Oreochromis niloticus: one gene and its partners. The protein of the gene in region 1 purifies or fractionates together with the protein of each later gene. This does not show direct contact. Links are inferred from orthologs where the notes say so. Each region holds a gene or a part of one and is shown on either strand. Other genes may lie near its edges.

Region 1 (7,024 bases):
GGGGCAATACTAGCATGCATGGTCTTGTACTTAGTGATGCACCCTATGTAAGTATTTAGCAGGGATTTATTTCTTTCCTCAACAGAAAGGGTGACTTTGTTGAAGATAATTCATTCCTTAACTTCTGTCTCCATTTTCAGACAAGAGAAGTGAAAGCATCAAACCATAACAAACACTGTGGATCCTCAGCTAACAATCACTCTCGATACCACAAGAAGTCCTGACTTGAAGCTTGTGTTCGCCACAGCAGTCTTGAGCCCTCATCGGTGCACATTATGCTGAAACATGTTGTTGAAACAAGCACTTATTACCCCGCAAAAGGAATTTTTACAAAGTGTGTCTTTTCAAGTAACTAAGGATCTGAAATATAAACAGCCTTGAATTGCAAAGACAAAAAAACCCCATATCAGCAGCCTTAGAGCGCACGTAGCACATGGTCATAAAAGAAAAACAATTTTAAGATACTGATTATCAAGCAATTTAAGTCTGAAGTGCCTATGTAAATGAGAAAGGCTTTAATCTGTTTTTATGTTAAAAAATGCAAAGATGCTCTTGTTTCAATCAACACATGACCAGCCCTGACTACAAAATATACAAACACTATCAAATTGTATATGTTAAATGTTTAAAGTTGCACCACTCTGTATTTATTTTGTATAGTAACACTATGATTTGCTGGACTGTTTTGCAACTATATCAGCAGTGAAGTGAATAAATCTTGTTGTCAGTTTGCTGATAAACTCTGTGTTTGGCAGTGTTACAATCAGTGAATTGACCAAGGCCTGGAAATGGTTTATGAAAAGACGTTTTGCAGCGTTGAAGGTGTGTTCGTCTTTCTTTTATGGCTGTGGAACAGATGATTATGGCTACTAGACTCAACCTACTGGCTCAGCAAGCCAAGCCTCTACCAAAGAGGTTTCCACAGGTTTCTCTTAAGATTGCACCTATGCTGAATTTTATTTTTGCTTTAAGGCTTAATTTATTTAATATTGCCCTCAATCTATAGCAACATCAAAAGACAAAGGATGGTATTATTTGATACTAGTTGTTGTTTAAAGTGTATTTAATTAAAAACTTCTCTGTCTTCCTCGGCAAACAATAGGTGCATTGGGGGAAGACGCTGTAGGGATTATTGATGTGAGCTGCCCCTCCTTCTCCGGCGTGTCTGGGTTTGTCCCTCTGTCAGCCTGCTAGGACTTGTTCCAAGAGCTGAAGGAAGCCCAAGCTCATCTGAACAATGATGGGACTTTTTTATAGCTTAACTGCAGGTTTCTTTGGTGCTCCAAGAAGGAGCTATAAACAGTAATGTGACAATGGTGTCTCATTGCCACATCGAGTCGTGCATCACCTCCTTGTTAGCTTACACCAAACCTGAGAACAGCAACAGAGGGAGACAATGTATTCATTTTTAGCATATGATTATGCCCACAACAGCAGACGCACTTTGACTCATTATATGTGAAGAGATTCTCCAGTGAAACATACAAATTGTCCAATGTGGTTAATTGACAATGAGCATCAGTGTTATTTCTACCCAGTGTGCATGAGACGATTATAAAGGGAAGAAAACTACTTTTATCTGAACTGATGAATGCTGATATTTAACATATTTGAGTCCTACCTATTAACAAGAAACTGTCTAGTAATAATACTTGGACTGCCCCAATAAAAAACAACAACAACATAGGCACGCACACAAATAAACACAATCATGTAGATTAAGTGTTCATGTTCAGATAAATCACTGAAATTCTGAATATTCTGCTGTAGGTTTGCCCTGAAATCAGTTCCGTTTGGCTTGGCACCATTATTGTTCACAGTCATTATGCTATACAATGGTGAGTGTAATGAGCTTTAAGCCTTAACCAGCACAACACCCAGAAACTGAACAAGAAAAGGCAAGAGTGCTGAAAATAAGGGGAGACATTTTCACAGATGCAAGTTCAAACTTGTGCTTTGGTCTGTTGTGAAGCTTAAGCTGTCAAGTATTTTGTCTTCTTTTGTTACAGTCCATTTAACACGCAATGAATGAGTGTCTGGAAAAGCAATATTGCATGCAACGAAAAATGACTGAAACAAACCTTGACTTCTGAATCTGAATATCTTTTGTAATCAAACAATATGCACATGGATGGGAGGTTGGAAATTAAGCTTTACATGTTTAGATCAAATTTGTAATGATAACAATGGCTTAAAAGCTCAGAAAATGAGTGATAGCTAAGATTTATGCATAAAACTGAAAGACTGTAGACAATAAAAAACGTTAAAGTTGACATGCAGTATATCATTTTCATTTATTATTGACTGTATTGTACGTGGTTAGTTCATGTTTAAAGGAAGTCAGAAAGGAAGGGATAGACGCTGCAATAGTTTGGGATAAATACCGATTGTACACTGCAGGGGGCGTGCGAGCCTTCTACTCACTTGACTATAGCAACGGTGTGTCAACATATCTGTAATAGCCAAACAGAAGAGCAAAGCGCTTTACACAAAGTGGACTCATGCAGCTACACTGTAGATCACAGGTTGATTCTGGTTTATAGCGGCCATATAATCGTTTCTAGTAATATCCAATCGAGAGCAGTGAGGAGGATGGAAGGCTGACAAAAAGTGACCAAACTCGGCGTGGTGGGTGGTCCTCTTGGCGCTGCCGGGACACTGCAGTCCATCTCTTTAATGTGTCTGACTGCGTTACAATGATGTAAAAATGGCCACTTTCATTGAAACAATTGCCATTTTTTGACTGGCAGCATGTGTGCAAAGACTGTTTCCTTCATTCATCAAATTAGAGCGACTTTTAAAACAATAATCAAGTATTTCACATATATTAAAAGTTTTCTCACTGTCAGTATTTTACTAATCATTTATTAGACACATCGAAGTTTAGCAGGACAAACATGAATTCCTATCAGTACACTAGTATGGTGGATTACAGCGATGTTAAATGTTTCTAAGATTTTGAAGGTACAGCTTTGTTAAAAAGTATTATCTGTCCAAAAGCATGTGGCTTGTGACTATCAGTCTGTTAAGGAGGTTTACAGTGTCTGTGGATATTTAATAGATCTTCATAATGATGCATTCAGTGGATGTATGGGAAAAGCTGAAACAGAGCCTCTATATCCAAAGAGGGTGGATCTTGACAAAATGATTTCTCAATGGGAGAGGGGCCGCATTAGCATAACAATTGTGGGAACTGCATGGGTCTACTTTTCATGAGCACTGTAACAAAAAAAAGAGAGTGAGAGAAAGACAAAACTGTACTATTACACATAGTGATGATAGTTTTTTTTTTGTTATCTTTGCTCAGATTCTTGGAAAAGTGTTTATCTATATTGTGTCATAATGCTATAAATAAATCCTGCAAAGAAAAATGTGATCTGCCAGTGTTGCTTTAGTCAGATTTTCCGTTTGCAAATGCAATTTATTGTAAGTTATTATGAGCTTTAAGTTCAATATGAATTTGATTTTCGTTTTCTTATTTGTCCTTTAATTTCTTGTTTTTACACTAGAAAACTTTGGTAACTTTGAAAAAAAAAAAACATGTACAAAGTTGTACAAGAAAATGTCACTTTATAGCATCAAATTTGAGTTTAATTTGGTTACATTGCTGTGTTCATTCATTTTCAGTGCATCTGCAAGTTAGTTTAATGAAACTTCCTATATAGTAGTTTCTTTTTCTACGCTGCATTCAGATTTGGGCTAGCAAATGGGCCATAATTTATAAGGTGTTGCCCTGATTGTCCAGTCGAAGATTACATAAACTGTAAAGGATATTACAGTTCCATTTGCTGTCAAAATAAGTAGATGTTAACTTTAAAAGTTGTGACATGTTTTATCAAAAACGTATCTTTTGGCACATAATATTTTACTTTTAATTTCACACGTTATTTAAATTGGGGAAGGTGCCCGCTAATAAAGGGCTTGGCTTTTTCACAGTCTACCTTTAAACGCTCTTGTCCCAATCGGAGCCGTAAGTCCCGCCCTTTATTGGTCATTACGTCACTGGCGTCATAAAGTTTGATGTCTCCTCTCCAAAGTTTAGATCCGACTGGGGCTAAACTTTTTTTTTTTTTTTCTAGAAAGTGAGCTGCGGAGATTTGTACTGCTCACTATGAGCCTTGCTTAAAAGAATATCAACAACAGCTTGGACTTGGCCCGACACTCAGAAAAAGTTGGACTCTTTCACTCAACCGTTTGTGGTGTTTTTTCGTCTTTTGTGGCTGCATCTGCGTTTTTTGGGGGGACGAGAGCATAAATTCCAATGTGGAGTTTATGCGCTTTGTTACGTTAACAAGTATGCCAGCAGGAAACAACAGGAAAAGGCTGTCTTTCATTGCAGATTTCGACAGCTAACACACTTTGGAAGAATATCAAGTGCTCGACTTGTAAAGTTTAGAATGACTCCGAATAACTTTTACTGAGTGTCGTCGAGATTTTCAGATTTCTCCCGGCGTGGAAAAAAAAGTTTGGGATTGACTCACGTTTATTTTTTAACTTCCGAAGCCTAACTTTTTTGGGACATAAAGTTCGAAGACTGTTTTGGGACAATGGATCCGAGCCAGCACAACCCTCCTGCCGGACACCAAATCGTCCATGTACGGGGCGACTCTGAGACTGACCTAGAGGCGCTTTTTAACGCCGTGATGAACCCGAAAGTCAATACCGTGCCCCACTCTGTGCCCATGAGGATGAGGAAACTGCCAGACTCCTTCTTCAAACCACCAGAACCAAAGTCTCATTCCAGACAAGTAAGCCCGCCCTGGTTTTTACTGTGCCCGTACTCAGAAATCACGACTAAAAATCAGGGCCCATCTTGTCGAGCTTCGGCCTTCTGGAGCTACGTGACTGGCACTTAGTTAATAGTTACTTCATCCTTCTTCAGTGCCATTTTTAGCCTTCAGCGTTATTGTTTTATTGGTCAGTCATCTTTGAACACACTTTTTTTTTTAAAGTCTTTAAGATATAATAACTTTATTCAGGCGGACTCGTATTGACATGCTTAAATGAGTGTGCATTTCCATTGATGGGTTGTTTTTTTCCCCCCCTCAAATTTCTATTTAACACATTGCACAGCAAAAAAACAAAACAAAACATTAAAACAGTAAAGGCCGTGAGGGCTTTATAAAACGGCGGAAACATTCTCTTACAGTCTTTGGCCGTAAGTAACCAAGAAAACCGATGAATATTGCTTAGCTTAGAATAAATTGTGAATAGATAAGTGACCATGTAAAAACAATAAGGGATGGTTTGGTTAATAATTCATGTATAGCTATTTGCAGACGGATAACCGTCATGTTCGCATCATCTTAAATTTTCTTTCTAATCCGACTTTTTTATGTAAACAACTTGATTTGCTGACAGGAAATCATATGATGGTTAAATTATCCTATATTCACCCACAGCCCCTCCCCGATCCCTTCTTCCATTTCCAGCACTTCCAAGTTACCGGTCGCTCCCCATAACGCTGAGGATTTTTTGTACTAGTGCGCATGCGTGTTGGTGGCGGGCCCTGGATGCCTCCCACACCCGAATAAGTCAAAAACATGCCTTCACATGCACATGAATAGAATTTATATACACTTTAAAGTGATTATGAATTATAAGGAGTGACTCAAATATTAAATGGGTAGAAATTATTTAGACTACTACACAAGGTCATTAAATTAAGACTGTTCTGTTTTTCGTTTCTTAATCCATTATTGCACTTGTATTTGAAACGAACAAAGCCACATATATTTTTTTTATTCTTTCATAAATGTTTAGTTTGTGTTTACATTTTCGTATTGCCTTTTTTAATTATTACATGATAATTGATGTTTTGAAGTAAGGATTTTCACTCAAACTCCCCACAGAAAACTGACTCAGCTCTTGTTGTCTCTCAACCCCAACACAGGCCAGCACCGATGCTGGGAGTGGCGGAGTGCTCATCCCTCACCATGTCCGTGCACACTCATCCCCTGCTTCCTTGCAGTTAGGAGCTGTTTCTGGTGGCTCACTGTCTGGCATGGGCTCAACAGGGGCCTCTCCTCAACATCTTCGTCAGTCTTCTTATGAGATTCCTGATGACATGCCCCTACCAGATGGGTGGGAGATGGCCAAGACTGCCTCTGGCCAGAGATACTTCCTCAAGTATGTATGCTGCCATGAAGTGCATCATACAGTTTGTAAAAGTCTCAAAATGCTTGCAACCTGAAATGTTTTGAAAAGTCAGTGATATTCATTACATTACATTTTAATACCATCACAATCACAGGTTCAAAGTTTTTAGTTTGTCACAATGAAAGTTACCAAAGAATTGGTCTTGTGACAGGTCTCTATAGAGACCTCTGTACTACAAAGCAGGATTTAATCTTATCTGGGTAACTTCTGGATTACCTCTGAAGTTTAACCCTTAACCCTAACCTGCTCCGGAACAGGTTAGGTTCCTGATTAGAGATCAGCAGGTATGAAATCACCGCCTACTGACCAGGCAGTTTGTTGGAAACTGGCATCACCCTTCCTGAAAAATCCCACTGTGGGTAGAGTAGATGGTTTTTCAGTAGTGTCTAAAGTCTTTGTGTTAACCTGTTGAGCATCAGTGATAAATATAAATTCATTCCCATGTTGTCAGCAACAATCTATTCTTTGATAAGTGTTAGTCAGTAATATATGATCCTAAAACAGGACACCTATACTGCACTTTCTAACCTAATTTCAAATTTGTACATAGACTAAGCCTATATTTGAATTCTGTTGTTGTATTTTAACTTAATCTTAAATACTTAAAAGACACAGCAGCTGTAACTGTTTTATGCAAATTTGAAAATGATTGGAATACTTGATAACAGCTCATCAGGTTCTCCAATGTCTTAAGGGGATATTTTTATCGATTAACTCACACAAGTGGCTACACTTTAATAATAGCTTTCTAACCAAAGTGGATACAAATACTTACATCATTTATGTAACCTCTTCATATTTTTCTAATTTTAAAGTTTACTCTTCCTTTGTAAAATCAGCTTCTAGTACACTAATCAGTGTGATT
Region 2 (7,283 bases), on another chromosome or scaffold:
GAAGTTTGGAATAAATAGGCTCAAAAAACCTTCCAGGAAAGTAGTGCTACATTTTATATTTCTTGAATTCAATCACTCTGTCTGGCTACAAATGAGACGCATTACGCAGCATTAGAGGGAATTAGACACGTATAAATTCACAGCTGCCACCAGATAAATGAAAACCATGTCCTCAGATGATACTGAAAGACACACAGAGTACCAGGCTGGTGACACAGTGTGACCCATGTGAAACTTCCTAGAAATGGTGTGATGTTCATACCTCTAAACATTGATCGTTTATATATGAAGCTTGAAAGCAAATTTGGGTTTCTATTATACACACATGAGTGAACATATATTGTGGCATCCAGACAATGAACTCAATCAGAAGAGTGCTCAGCATAAGTTACTGTTTAACCATATGACAGCTTGGTGGCCACCAGTAGCCATTCTCCACATCTGTATAGGCTAGATAATTTATATCAAGTTTATGTGACCCTGGAGTTGCTCCACACCTTTCTCTTCATGTCAGATATAGTACCAATTATGGAAGATACTTTGGGTAAGAATTACACAAAGGCAAATCCTACATTTATTATAGTTAGTAAGTTTTTCTGCAAGAGAGACAATTTCAGAATATTATTTAGCCAACCATTAATTCACTAAAGAAGACTGTGTTTGAGCTCTTGAATATAATCAGTGTTTACTGCATTTTAAAAGCATAAAAATAGCACAGAACATGATCTGTACTGTGAATCTTTGTCTTGGTCTGACTAAGCAGGCAGCACAAATCCAGATAGACCTAATCCCTGACACCCGAAATGCACTGCACTGCTTGATCATACTGACACACCCCAACTGAGCTTCCCTTCAGCGCTGTCAAGAGGAAGAGCTTACCAAGCTTCATAACTGAGTTAATTGATCCGGAAGAAGCTGAGTGGCAGCCGGTAAGAGCCGGCTACACGCTCTAAATGCTGTAAAACATTAATTGCCCCATTCATAATGAAAAGATGTGGAGCAACTGTGGTGTTATAAGTAGGGTTACATCATCAGTGTGGCTGGACCTAAAAATTGGACTTGAAAATATTTTCAAAAATAATTTACAAAATCATCACAGCTGCCATTAAAAAGAAGAAATAATTCCCAGAAAGCTAAAACTTTTATAGAAATCACTAAAAGACACAAAAAACCAAATCTGATGTTTTGGCTATACTGCATTTGTAGCAAGCATCCCAAACATAATAGAACTTTACTGGACGTAGAGCTTGTCCCGTACTCACCGCAGCCCACCACCAGGCATCCGGTATGCTGCTGAAAGGTGTCCCGGGCTGATCCACCTCCACAGAATGCATCAGAGCAGAGAAGGTGAAGATGCCCATGGCGATGAAGAGAAACAGACAGCACACCTGCAGCACGACAGAACAGAGCACGTCAACGACAGCGCTTGTTTATATGAAACTATAAAGCAGTTACTATTTTAGGGGCTTGCATCCAGTAATATGACAATTTGAGATGTTACTATAAAGCCTTCCTGACATTTCTGCACTCGACGGGCTGTGTAAGCTTTGTTCAATTAATCGCTTTTAAACACACGATATGCAAAATTAATAAATGTGATATTATGTTACATTAGTGAAGTTTAGAGCTGCTGGTAGGTGGATTTTGTTCTTTATCATAGGCTCTTGAAGCTCTCTCTTCAAGAAATAAAATATGCACATTTAAATAGATTGTGATATCCTGTTGTAACACTATCATAAACTTCTTCTCCACTTCTCTTCTCCTAGTGGTGACTTTCACATAAAACTACCTCCTGTTCCTCGTATGTCTCTTCAGAGCCTTACTTACGAGTTGCCATGTTATTCAAAGGCCTTCAGATGTTACCAGCATTTGTGTTTGTTGTTTATTCCCTTCATACCTGTTCAGAGCACTGGCGGATGGTGAAGCCAAAGGCCCTCATGCCGGTGGAGTGACGGGCAAGCTTCAAGATACGGAAGATGCGCATGAGCTTGACCACTTTGAGCACCTTGCTGACTTTGCTGACTCTCGACATGGCCTTCAAATCCTCCTGAGCACTGATGTCTTCAGAGTCTAACACAAAAGTCTCAAAAATGATCTGGAGGAAGTAGGGCATGACGGCTACCAAATCGACAAAGTTGAGGGCGCTCTTCACAAAATGCTTGATGTTTGATGTGGTGAGTAGTCGCAGAAAGTACTCCAACGTGAAGAAAAGGATAGAACTAACCTCCACCCACTCCATGTAGGTTTTGCCTGCAAGTTTGTACTGCCTAAGTTCTTGGACTGTATTCAGAGTCATGGCAACGATAGAGATAAGCACAAAGAGACTGGAAAACACTGCAAAGGCTTTGGCTGACAGTGAGGAGTAAGGATTCTCCATCAAGTCCCAAAGTGCTTTACGAAAGTCTCCAAGAAACATGGTCTTGTAGCCCTCGTCATCATGGTGAGGTTTAATCTCATCAATGAGCTCCTGGTTAACCTTCAGGTGTTCTCTGATGTCGTCCAGTTTCTCCTCAAACAGAATGCGGCAGCACCTGAGAAAGACAGACAAATGCTTTACCATAGCTACTTTTTAAATACCCACAGACAAAGCCACAATAGATACAGTGCATATCAAATATCTACAGCGCACCTTGGAGTATCCTTCAGTTTGAGCCCCCAGAATGAGATCTCTTCCTCAAAGTTGACAGGACACAGGCTATCCATCACCCACAGAACATTACTGCAGTAAAAGTGAAATATGTAATGGAAAAACATGGGGTCCCTGTCAAAGAAGAACTCGTTGTTCTGAACATTATAATCGTCACAGAGCGTCAGACGCTTAACTGGATCATTGCACAGAGCAAGGACTCCGATCCTGGTCTTTGGGTATCGGAGGACCAAGTGTTTAGGGATGTGAAACACCTTTCCGCCCACATTTAGGTTGACAATGTTTGATTGCCAGGGGTTTGGTGCATCCTTCTTCTCATCTTTTTTCACCTCTTTTCTGTCACCAGGAGTGTCAAGGTTGTCCATAGATGTCCATGGTTTTACTGAGCTGTCCTGTGAAAAGGGGAATTCACTCTCCTCCTCTTCGATGCTGTGCGTGAAACTCGCATCGCGTTTTACAGATGCAAAAAGACTGGAGCGACGTTTTTTTAGAATTTTCCACTTCTCCATTGCGACAGCTTCTCAGAAGATAAATCAGTGGAAAATGTCTTGTGCCAAGTTTGAATCAAGTCACTGGACAAAAATGATCATATATTTTTTCTTTAAATCTACAACATCAAGCAAAATATCACCATGGTTTAAAAAAAATCCTCCAGGTTGAAATAAAGACAAAGAAAGAGCTGTGGTACTTTTCAGTCACTGTGCAAGAAGATCAACTGCATGAGTTAGGGCTTCAGCCTCTTCACTGATTCTCTAATCCTATTGCTGTTCTTTCTGTCCCAGCGCAAGTTAAAAATACTGTTCACAAGGATTAGTGTTGTGATTTAAGGCTTTGACTTCTGAGAGAGGAAGAAAGCCAGAGAGGGCAGTGTCATGACAGTATTGCATGGCTAACAAGGCTACAGAGAGGTTTTACACAGGATATTCAGGTAGATTACACAAACTATCAGCTATGGCCTTTTTGACCTATTGCTGAACTAGTTCAACAAGCCTGATTTTAGAATTAAAGGTTAAATACATTAAAACTAATAATAACTGATAAAAAATGTCTTTGTTTTCTGTATATTCTGCATAGACCCTTAACTGTATTGTAAGGCTCCACAACAAAATCACTGTTTATTACTGATGTGTTTCTCTTTACAATAACTCACTGGTATAACTGACAAAGTATTCATTTTAATATTAACTCAAGCCAACTAAAACCAAAATATACATTATATAACACTGAATGTATTTAATGATGTACTGAATCAGTAACCTTTTTGATACTGACTTTGGATAAATAGGCTGTGTTTTATGACTGACATCCCAAGCATTTGTAGTTAGTCCAGTAACTCAGTATTTGAATTGTCTGTATGTACGCACAAAACAAAGATACATTTACACAGAGACAAATCCCTTTCTCTGTTTCTGCACATTAAAATAGTTTTGTAAACTCTGTGAATAATGGTTTGGCCCAGGTTTTTACCATGGCTGCTTCGAATGGTATTTCCCAATCTACCGGAAAAGGAGGTAACTACGAATGTATAAAAGTTTTTATTAAATTTCGGTATTGTTGTTATTACTCATATGTTTATATTCTTTTACTTGTAATTTGATTTAAAAATAATTTAAAATTAAAAATTTAATTAAACTGAGAAATTACAGTTGCCATATATACCATCCGTGCACCACGTGACTTCCTTTCCGGTCTAGCCTGACAACATGGACGCCAGCCGCGTGCAGCCCATCAAGCTTGCAAGAGTAAGAAAATCTATAAAACGCTGAAAATGATTATATAAAGCACTTAGATACCTACAATAATAAGTATTGTTTCAAATGGGCTCAAAATTTTTAGGCTAAATCCATTTTTTGTGTCGTAGTTAGCAAACGTCTCTTTGGCTCTCGTGCTTCTATCATGGAGGCCTGTCGATGCTATAGTCTCTGCTAGCTGCCGCAGTACTTTCGTGATGCTTAGTTTTATGGATTCTCTATGTTCGTTAAATATATATGTGTGTATTATATTGATTTTAGAGATTTGATGTTCATGTTTCTCGTGTTTTTATTTTCAGGTCACCAAGGTTCTCGGGAGAACCGGTTCCCAGGGACAATGTACACAGGTATGCTAGTTTGGCTAACACCTCAAATTTTGTCCGGGACAAACCATGTCTGCGATTAATGTTTGCCTTTTATACGTTTAAGCTTACTTTGAGTTACTGCCAAGGATATACGCAATCTAGGGCTGTAAATTCATGTGAAAATAAAAACTAAATTAATAAATCAAGGTAAAAATACCTGAAACGATACAAAAAGGGCTAGGATGGAAAATGTAAGAGTTTAGTTTTGTCATACATAATTTGTCTACACATTAATTATGAGAATGTAATGAGGCGGCTGTTTGAAATTTGGACATTTTCTTTAGCTGCAAGTCACGTTTTTTGTTTCTTTAGAAACAAAACAAAAAAAAACTTGATCTGAACTTAATTTTTTGCTGGTGATAAATATCCTCCATAGTGCTATAACTAAAGTCACTAACGCTGAAACTGGGCAGATCCACTGTACCAACTAACTGAAACTAGAGTGAATTATTATCAAAAGTTTAAGATGAAAAACTGATTAAGCTACAAAATATGACTCGCCTGATTTCTTGTACCAGAAATAAGGCAGGTTATTTTGGGGGGACAAAATTTTAAACTGGATTTTAACTACTAATGACATACTTAGGCAAGCCACTGATCCTAACTGGAAACCACGTTTAATAGAGAAACTAGATTTATCTTTAAAATGTATTAATGCATTCATTCATCCATTTTTTTGTCCCCCCCACTTAGCTTATCTCAGTTGTCATTTAGGGTAGCGTGGGGGTGTACCGGTTACTTGGGCTAATGATAGCAATTTATGTTACATTCATATCTATAGCAAACTTAAGCCCCTTTTCTCTTAGTACCTACTTGGATTGATTCGTAACGTTTTCGGGGTTTTCCATTAGGTCACACTACCTGCTCGGCCGGGGTTCCAAAGCAGTCCGAGCAGGTACTAAAATGTTGCATCACCAGACTGCATGCCACTGATTGGCTGGTCAGTGGCGTGATGAGAGCATCACCAAGTCAATCTGAGTAGGTACTAGTGGAAAAGGGGACTATAGTTAACCTAAAATACATGTATTTATACTTCGATTATTCAAACTGCTGTACCACTGTGTTGCCCACTAACTATTTACTTTATTACTAAAATGTGCGTTCACTTGTGTTGTTCACTTGATGGCTTTTACAGCATTGCAGAGTAAGATCCTCAGATACTGTTTTCTGAGAAACAGAGAAACAGCAGGGATCCCCCCCAAAAAAAAGCAGATTATAAAAATAACTTTTTAAAAAATGCCAAAAAATAAATTTTTAGGTATTGTGCTATAAATTGATGATCATGACCACTGATTTATTTTCTGTGTTAACTGGATAGTTTAAACAGCTGAAAAATTTCAAAATGAATATAGTTTTAAAATATTTTTAAATTAAGATTGCTTTGCTCCCTTGCCACATAAATAGGGATGCATGACAAAAACAAAATGAGGAAAAATGTCTGCTGTAGAGTCATTTTAATATTTAAATTTTGGGTGGTCCCGTTTCCCACCAGGTCCGTGTTGAGTTCATGGACGACAGCAACCGCTCAATCATCAGGAACGTGAAGGGCCCGGTCAGAGAGGGAGATGTGCTGACACTCCTGGAGTCTGAAAGAGAAGCCAGGAGGCTGCGATAGGTGAGACCATGTAACCTCAGGTGATCAGTGTTTTGAGTCATTAAACTTGTCAGCATTGGTGAAGCCCACAGTGAGAGTGCTGATGGATAATATGCACTTTGATGATCCTGAACATTATTATTATTAAAAACGTAGTGAACCAAGAACAGTTTAGGATGATAAAACACTGCAGGTGAGGTGATGACAATGTTTTCCATTGTAATATAGTTAACAAAAGTTAAAGATATTCCCATAGTACTAACATGTACTATAGGAATATTTATATTCCTTATATAACCTTATAAGGTTAGAAAAAAACATTAAAAATGGCTTGCAGTAAATGATATTGCAGGGCAATCTGTTTTTGGCTTTGAAATGTCCATAATGAGTCTTAAACTCAACCTAATGCTAAGTTCTCAATACAAATATCTGCAATATTAGGTCATAATTGCATCTGGGCCACTAGTCTGAAGCTCTTATCTAGTTAAAGTGTAACAGAGCTGCACAAAGATTGAGTGTTTTCAGTCCTGTGGTGGTCAGAGGTTGAAGTTTGAATTCTTTAGTCCTCCCGATAGGCTGCTCATGTCTAATGCTGCTCAGTTCAGAGTGTTATCAGTGTTCTGAATTTGGGAATGTATGAGACTTAAACACAGGCTTAAACCCTTCTCCCTTTTTCACTTTTTCTGTCTTCACAGTGCCTACTGAAGCTGCCAATCCAACACTGTGGAGCATCAACTACAGCAGGATGCAGTCACTTTCAGTGGACTACCCACCGCTTGTTCAGATGTTTTGAAATAAATTTGAGTTGAAAATGATCCTTGAAGTCTTCTTTCTTTTATACTAAGTGTGATTTGTTCTTTAATAAACTCGTATATTAGCCTGCCATCATAAACTTGCCTGAGACTAGCAATGACTCATTATTGATA
Region 3 (7,370 bases), on another chromosome or scaffold:
GGTTATTTACAGACCTAGTTGGTCTCTTGATCAGCTGAATTTGATGAGTTGAAGTAACTTGTGGTCTTGTTCATGGGCAGGGGGAGAGTGGAGCAGGAGATTGACAGACAGGCTGGAACAGCATCTGATGTAATCTCGGTCCTCTATCGGTCTGTTGTGATAAAGAAGGAGCTGAGTGTTAAGGCAAAGCTGTCAAATTACTAAACAATGCTTTTCTACCCTCAACTATAGCCACAAACTACAGATACTACCAGAAAGAATATAATCTTGGATACAAGGTGCAGAAATGAGCTTCCTCTGAAGGGTATCTCGTTCACAATTACAGAGAGGATAAAGATTTTGATTGTGAGGGGCTCAGAGCTGCTGCACCTCCACATTTGAAAGAGCCAGTTGATGTGGGATATCTGGACTATCTATATACTATATACTGGAGCGATTATGTGTCTGGATGGATGGATGGATGGATGATATCTGAGATATGTAAGCCCTTCAAAAATCTGCTGGCACTGGTTAAAAGCTGATGTCCACAAATTGAAATCGTTATCCATATGCACTGCGTAGTTATATCCAATCAATATTTTTGCAGTAATGGGCTGAATCTGAGTAGAGAATATAATCCTTTGCACTTGACAATTAACCCTGCTACAAACAGCAGCATTGACATTATCAATAGAAACACAGTTCCACTGCCATAAATGTCCATGCCATAAGTTCGCCAGGTATGCTGGCGAACTTATGTGGTATGCTGCAGATCATGAGCTGTTTCCCTCTGTCTCTATGCTTTGCTCCTCCTGCCATTCTGGTACAAGTTAATCTGTTTTTCTTCTATACAATATTTTTTGTCCAAACTGTGCACTCATTTAGATGCTTTCTGACAAAGGTCAAACTGTCCTTCTTGAGTGTAACCAGGCATTTGCACTTTGTGGTAAATCCTATACATGTCCCCAATCATGAAATTGCCTGTTGATTGTAGATCAAGCTTTCTTAGATTGCTTATCTTACCCTGTCAAGTTCACATGGGTTCACCTTTTCTGGAGCTGCATATTTTGTTGTCTGTTGGAAATAAGTCCAGTGGCACACATCCAGGAACATTTCCATGTTCTGAAGAATTATTTATTTCATTATTTTTGTGGGCCCAATATAACAATGCAGTTGTGAGGACAAAACAGGTTTAGAGTATGGGTCTCAAACATATGGCTCCTATTGTAAAATGAACCATCTTTCACAGTGTGATGATGCCAAGAACAATTTCTAGATCTCAGCAATTTGTTAGAAACATAAAGTTGTTAAAACGCTATTTTTTTTATTACATTACACATGTGAAGTTTTTGTGTCTTTGTGGCACCCCTTTGCTCTTTCAGTGATAATGTGTGTAATGACAGTAGACTGACTAAATGCATTAAAAAAATTTAGATTAATTAAATTTTAAGAGTGTAATAACTTTTTTTTTAAAGACTTCCCTTTTTATTAACAGTTGTGTAAATTGATTCAAGTTTTAAGATTGCAGTTGTTCTTGTTTACTCTAAAAATTATTTTTCAAACAGGTTAGACAGTGATTTTACTCACTGGGCCATTTGCGATACTATTTTATGTATTTCATTTAAACTGACGTACCCACCTGCAAATAATTCATGTAAGATTACAGAGTTTTCTGTGGCCTCTGGCTCACCAACAAATGAGGGTCACAAATGTAGTAACCCTGGAAGGTTTTGGACCTGTCATTGTAATAAGTCTCCATTATTTTTGCAGACTGAGATGAGCTGTTCACTTGAGAGATGGATGTGTGATGATTACAGTTCTAATGATTCTCATAACATCATTTATTCAGTTTAAATGTCATCCACACCAGGAGTCCAGCATGCACCATACCAGGACCACACAATTCAATAACAGTGTCATCAATTACATCTGCACTCTTCCTGGAATTACACCCATCTGCCTGCCACAGAACAGCAGTTTTTATTTTAGGATTATTTGTTAATTAGTCAATCATTTTAAGCTCAAAAGCATCCCCTTGACTCAAATGCTATTCGAAATTAGGAAACAGATAATTAGGATTTTTACTTCCATGTGCCTACTAACAAAAAACAGTACAGACTGAGGTTCGTTATAATAGTTGATCAATAATACTGAGCGACCACCAACACAGCATCATCTTTAATATAATTCTGAAAAAAAAAACACCCCTTCCAGTTCATGTCCTCCAAATACTTCCTCAAAAAAGAAATTGTAAAAACTTAAACATTGAGACGTATTTTTTAATTCAAACTTTTATTTTTACCCAAATGAAGAATCTTTAATTTTCAAAAAGAAACTTCACCACTAATTTAGGTCCTGTATCTTTATTTTAATTCATGTCTAGGTTTTGGAGTTCAAGGCTTTCAAAACTTCCTTTTAACATAATTTTAAAGAAAGCCTTGCTTTAATTTGCTTTAAAAATGATATTGACTACATCATTTGACATTATTTGTGCAAATTAACAGTTGCAATATTTGGTATAGACAAAAGGCAACAGATCTTAGTAGAAGAACTGTTATTAAGTGTATTAAGCACAGTACTGAGATCTGTCGTCATTTTAGGTTTGGGCAGCTTGGAGTCAATTCTGCATCATATCAAACGGGGAATAGTCAATTTAAATCCCAAGAAAACCTTCACAAATCTTGTAACGAATGTTCTTAAGAAGAGTCTGAAAATTTGACATTAGAGACTCCAAGACAAGTACACATACCAACTAGTTAAACCCACAGAATACTTTTACATTTCTGTTGGATAACAAAGCTTTTTAGCCTTTCGATTTTGTCCCAGTTTACCATCTGTATCTGTGGACTGTTCAGTGGGTAACTTCGATACTCGAACATAACTGACAAAAACTTTTATGATTCTTGTACGTGCATCTTGTGTTATACCCTGTGAGCTGTTGTTCCTGTATAATGACTGCAAGCTTTTCTGAATTTTATTTCATTTTATTGTATTTTATTTTTACTTTTTTGTGCTCCAAACATTTAGCAAAAAAGAGACCTCAATCCCACGAGACGTCCCATTAAACAACCATCAATATCTCTATGTAAAATATAGAAAACTTTTGATTTTTCCAGACAATTTAATATAACATTCATTACTGTAAGATTTTGTAAATCATCAACCACACACATGAAAAAGAGCAGCAGATCCTCTGTAAACAACACCAGCAAGGGTCTGAAATGTGTCTGTATAAGTTTCTCTTTAATATGTGGAAAATAACGTGTTAATTATAAGTCACTGCAGTATTTTTTTGTTTGTTTGTTTTGTTTTTTACAAAATAAAGCTGGCTCCAGAATCTGAATGTACTCTGTATTTTAAAATGATAAAAAAATAAGCATCAGGACACACTGGCAGGAAGAACTAGGCACTGAGCATGTGTGGGAAAAATGTTGTGGCAAATATTCACAGCATCTATATAAATTCTTTGCACACTCTGATACAATTCAGTCTTCCAAAGACTTGCACAGATGAGGTTCTCAAAAGATTATAGATTTTCTAGAATCACTTATTTGATTTCTTCACCAAGGTTTTTAATTTGGAGTGCCCCTTTGCCCCTCTTAAAGCATTATTTGGGGTGGTAGACTCAAGCAGGTTACACATCATGAAGAAGCTCTATCCACAGTGTTAGCAGGAAAAATTCTGCTCCAGTCTAGGAAGTCTGAGACAACTCCAATGTTTGATAAGTGGCTGAAAGAATTAGGAAATTTGCTACACTTGGGGAAAAATATGTAAAGTTAGAAACAGTATGTCAGACACAGTGAGTCTCTTTCAGAAAATCTGGTTAACAATCACAAGTTGAAATCAGTCTCTAATGGTCTTACAGATCAACAACAAGGCAGGTAAAGGTGAACACTAGTAACACATCTAATCGTGTATCTTTCTTCTTTCTTTTAAATATTTTTATTTTCTAAACTTTAAAAACTACAAATATATTTTTAAAAAGCATCAGGTAATATGAGGTTACATTACATCAACACATTCAATTACCACAAATCGGCCTAGTTTTCGTTCCTAATGTATCGGTGCCCGACAGATTTATGGGGGACCTAGTTGGGACGCACACCCCCCTACATCATTTTTCTGGTAAAATTGGTTAAGTAAACGGGAAACGGGACTTTCAGTCAACATTGCCTACAACGTTCAGTAACGTGAAATGTAAAAATAAATAAGTTTTGAGATTAAACAAACAAACAAAGAATATTTTAAAAGGAAAAACAAAAGTTTGGATTTTATTAATAAATTGGATCATGACGAACCGAATATTTTAGTTAAGAGTTTCCGTTTAGACTACATAAAAGTAATAAATGTGCAGTGTATAGCAGTAAGCCTGTTTCGTGCCCCGACTTATTACACGGCAGTATTACCCCTTTTCCACTAGTATCTACTGGGGTGGCGCGCCTGTCGCCCGTGTGTTTTGCTAGTCATAGGCTTCTGTACAGAGATGGCAAGAGAGCCGTAGCAGACTGAGGGGCCTGCTCGGCTGAGGATTTTACTGACAACCGTTGCGTTAGCACACAGCAAAGATACAGAGTGTAGGAAAGTAGAGGAACAGCGAACAAGGTAAAACACCCCTGCTAATGTCACTTAAAGCATTTAGAAAGACGTTCTCCGAGTGTTTAAATAGTATTTCTTGATAAGCCTGTATTTTATATGCAGCCGAACTGGCTAGCTTTGTGATGGCGGACAATTAGCCCAGATGCTAAGTAAGTTAGTCAGATAGCCGGCTAGCGAGCAGCTAACTTGGCTCACCTAGCTAGCGTCTGCTGTAACGTTATAACAATATGCAGATGTAGATTAAGCAAACACGCTACGTTTTTAGTTATGTGCCCGTTATCACCTCTTGGTTTGTCAGATGGATATTATACACACAGTAGAAAGGATAGTCACCTAGCGTTAAGCTACTTTCACAAGACTAAAATTGTTTTGCTTTTTTTTAACTGTAGCTAGCTGGCTACCTTATTGATAGCTAGTTACAGACTAGTACTGCTACACATTTAAAGGTTGTCACCGGGAGTATCTGCACTTATTGTACGTATGTGTGTTGCAAATAGATTTAGGAGGTTAAGTGTCCCAAGGCCAGTAGCTGCCTATTAAGTTACACTTTGTAAGCTAATGCTAGCAGTCAGTAGATTACCCCAAAGTTAGCCGCTGTTCGATAACTGTACCTGAGTTTGTGTGTTATGATCAGTATTTAATATGTAAATTAAGCATTGCTAGCGTATGGCCTGCGAATTGTGTCAAAGTGGAATCAATCTTCTGCTTTATTATCCATTAATCCATGTGACTGATTACCAAACTTTTGCTCGTGAAAGGAAATGATATGTTACCCTTCAACTTTTAAACGTGTTGACATTTCTAGCCTTTGGGTGTTTCTCGGGTCGTAGACAGTGCTTGGCACAGGTGAATGTGAGCCTGACCCTTGAGCCACAGCTGTTTATTTTAGTGTTGCTCCAACTTGAGTTATCCAATGAATAGTGAGTTGAACATGTAACACTTTCAGGGTCTCTAGCTTTAAAGACGAAATTCTGAGCAGAGACAGAGTAAGAGAGACCATATTTATGTGGGCTCCGCTAACACCTGATGAGAATCCCTGTCAGTACTGATTAGGCCCAGTTGCCTTACATTTCCCTTTTCTGGACAGGCTTGGTCTCAAAGAGAAATGGTCTTTCATGGCTGTGTTTGTTTGAGTGGCTGATGCAGGTTTATGTTTATACAGTATCTGCTATTGTATTTCAGGATTCTTAGTGTCTTGCTGTCTCTCTGTCATGAACAGTGGTTTAGTATTTAGGCTATCACATGCTGTGTATGCTAGTGCCACATTGGAAGGAAATTACTTAGAGTAAAGTGTCTGTTAAGGCAGCATTATTTGCCTGCTGGCTCTAAAATATGCTTGTTTTTGTGCTCTCACTCACTTGCAAAGACACTGACCTTTTGAAAAGCAGGAAAGCAGCTGTGGGTGAAATTAGGAGTTGTAGCCTGCTACCATTGTGTAAAGCTTGTGTGTTTTGCCCATGTGAGAGTTTTTTTTTAAGTCTGGCAAAATAAAAGAGAGCTGGACTAAAGAAACTTTAAAGAGCTTTTAGGGTATGGGGTAGCGTAAGAATAATCACCGTCTTATTATTTTGGATAAAGATAAGATTTACTGTATTTGTCTTAAAGTTAGGAAATTCCTGCTACATTAGTTAAAAATTAAAATAAAGAGAACAAACATAAAAATAACCCAAGTAAGTAATAAATAAAAAAAATAACCATGTCAGTCGGTGTCAGGTTAAAAACAATAGTTATTCAGCTTCAGGACTTTTAAACATTTAAATATACTTTATATGCATTTATGCTTCAGTCCTGTTCATGGTCTGCCCGGATGTGTTCTATAGACAGCTGTAGTACAGCGGGCATGTGTGTCTATGTATAAACTGTTATGTGCGTCATTAGGTCACAGGAAGACGGACAGTCCATTAGAACAGACAGCAAAGCTTGTTTGACAGGTGGTGTGAGAAAGGATTTGTCTTGGATTTTTACACACAAAGGTGTACACTTACAGAAACAAGTTGTCTGCTGTGAAGCAGATTTTTTTGTTAGCCAGCCTCTCCTTTGCAACCTTTGGAATAAAGCAGGAACATGATCAGACAATCATCACAAAATACAAAATGCATGTCCAGCAGTAAGCACGTTACTCTTGTTTTGTAGGCAAATCTAACCCTGTGCTAACCCTGCTGGCAGCCAGCATATTAAAACAGATAAGCAGTCCTCGAGCAAAACAAAGAAAACTGAAGTGAACCTAAGATTAAAGGTCCTGTGTTTTTTATGGTTTTATAGGTTTTTTTAATAACTGTGAATTCATCTGGTGTTACCCAAGAATCCAGATCCTACAAATAAAATATTAATTGTCCCCTAGACTTGCTGTTAAACCCCTCCAAGCAGGTATTGAACAGGTTCAAAACAGGTATCTGTAAACACGATAAGCCAAAGTCCTTGGGTGTGTATTAGTTGGGCAACTAACAATTTTCAGATTGTCAGTAACTCTGAGCTGTTAAAAATGTTTAAATTGTATTTCAGAAAACAAATTTAATTGCAATATTAAATCAGCTATTGAGTTATGATCCTCTTTCAACCTTGGTGTTTAGGAGTCAAACACCGCTGTATAAATACCACTCTGTTTCCATATTTCTTGCTCAGAGATGCTGTTTAGTAGTAACCCTCACAGGTCCCACTTTAATCAATACCTGACATAACCCCTGACTTGGGGTGGCTGTATCTCAGGAGGTAGGGTAGGTCATCTACTGATCAGAAGGTTGGTGGTTCGATCCCTGGCTCCTCCCCCTGCATGCCAAATGTCCTTGGGCAAGATA

What was found. The genes of interacting proteins can lie anywhere in the genome.
Region 2: the proteins of yap1 (region 1) and rps28 purify together in Homo sapiens (affinity purification with mass spectrometry, with the first as the bait; 3 studies listed by BioGRID). This does not show direct contact. The link is inferred for Oreochromis niloticus from reciprocal best matches to the Homo sapiens genes YAP1 and RPS28.
Region 3: the proteins of yap1 (region 1) and wwp1 purify together in Homo sapiens (affinity purification with mass spectrometry; 3 studies listed by BioGRID, with this or other methods). This does not show direct contact. The link is inferred for Oreochromis niloticus from reciprocal best matches to the Homo sapiens genes YAP1 and WWP1.

What each region holds. Positions count from the first base shown.
Region 1 is NC_031979.2:32,236,362-32,243,385, reverse strand, and holds the start of yap1 (transcriptional coactivator YAP1), read left to right. Parts: upstream 1-4,014; 5' UTR 4,015-4,547; coding exon 4,548-4,748; intron 4,749-5,893; coding exon 5,894-6,129; intron 6,130-7,024. Other genes in the region: cep126 (centrosomal protein of 126 kDa), read left to right, coding at 1-47, 141-224. UniProt on the Homo sapiens protein: Transcriptional regulator with dual roles as a coactivator and corepressor. Critical downstream regulatory target in the Hippo signaling pathway, crucial for organ size control and tumor suppression by restricting proliferation and promoting apoptosis.
Region 2 is NC_031982.2:11,422,626-11,429,908, forward strand, and holds rps28 (small ribosomal subunit protein eS28), read left to right. Parts: upstream 1-4,262; 5' UTR 4,263-4,350; coding exon 4,351-4,389; intron 4,390-4,697; coding exon 4,698-4,745; intron 4,746-6,255; coding exon 6,256-6,378; 3' UTR 6,379-6,398; intron 6,399-7,052; 3' UTR 7,053-7,172; downstream 7,173-7,283. Other genes in the region: si:rp71-39b20.4 (potassium voltage-gated channel subfamily V member 2), read right to left, coding at 1,263-1,388, 1,898-2,531, 2,630-3,156. UniProt on the Homo sapiens protein: Component of the small ribosomal subunit. The ribosome is a large ribonucleoprotein complex responsible for the synthesis of proteins in the cell. Part of the small subunit (SSU) processome, first precursor of the small eukaryotic ribosomal subunit.
Region 3 is NC_031974.2:27,338,076-27,345,445, forward strand, and holds the start of wwp1 (NEDD4-like E3 ubiquitin-protein ligase WWP1), read left to right. Parts: upstream 1-4,349; 5' UTR 4,350-4,581; intron 4,582-7,370. UniProt on the Homo sapiens protein: E3 ubiquitin-protein ligase which accepts ubiquitin from an E2 ubiquitin-conjugating enzyme in the form of a thioester and then directly transfers the ubiquitin to targeted substrates.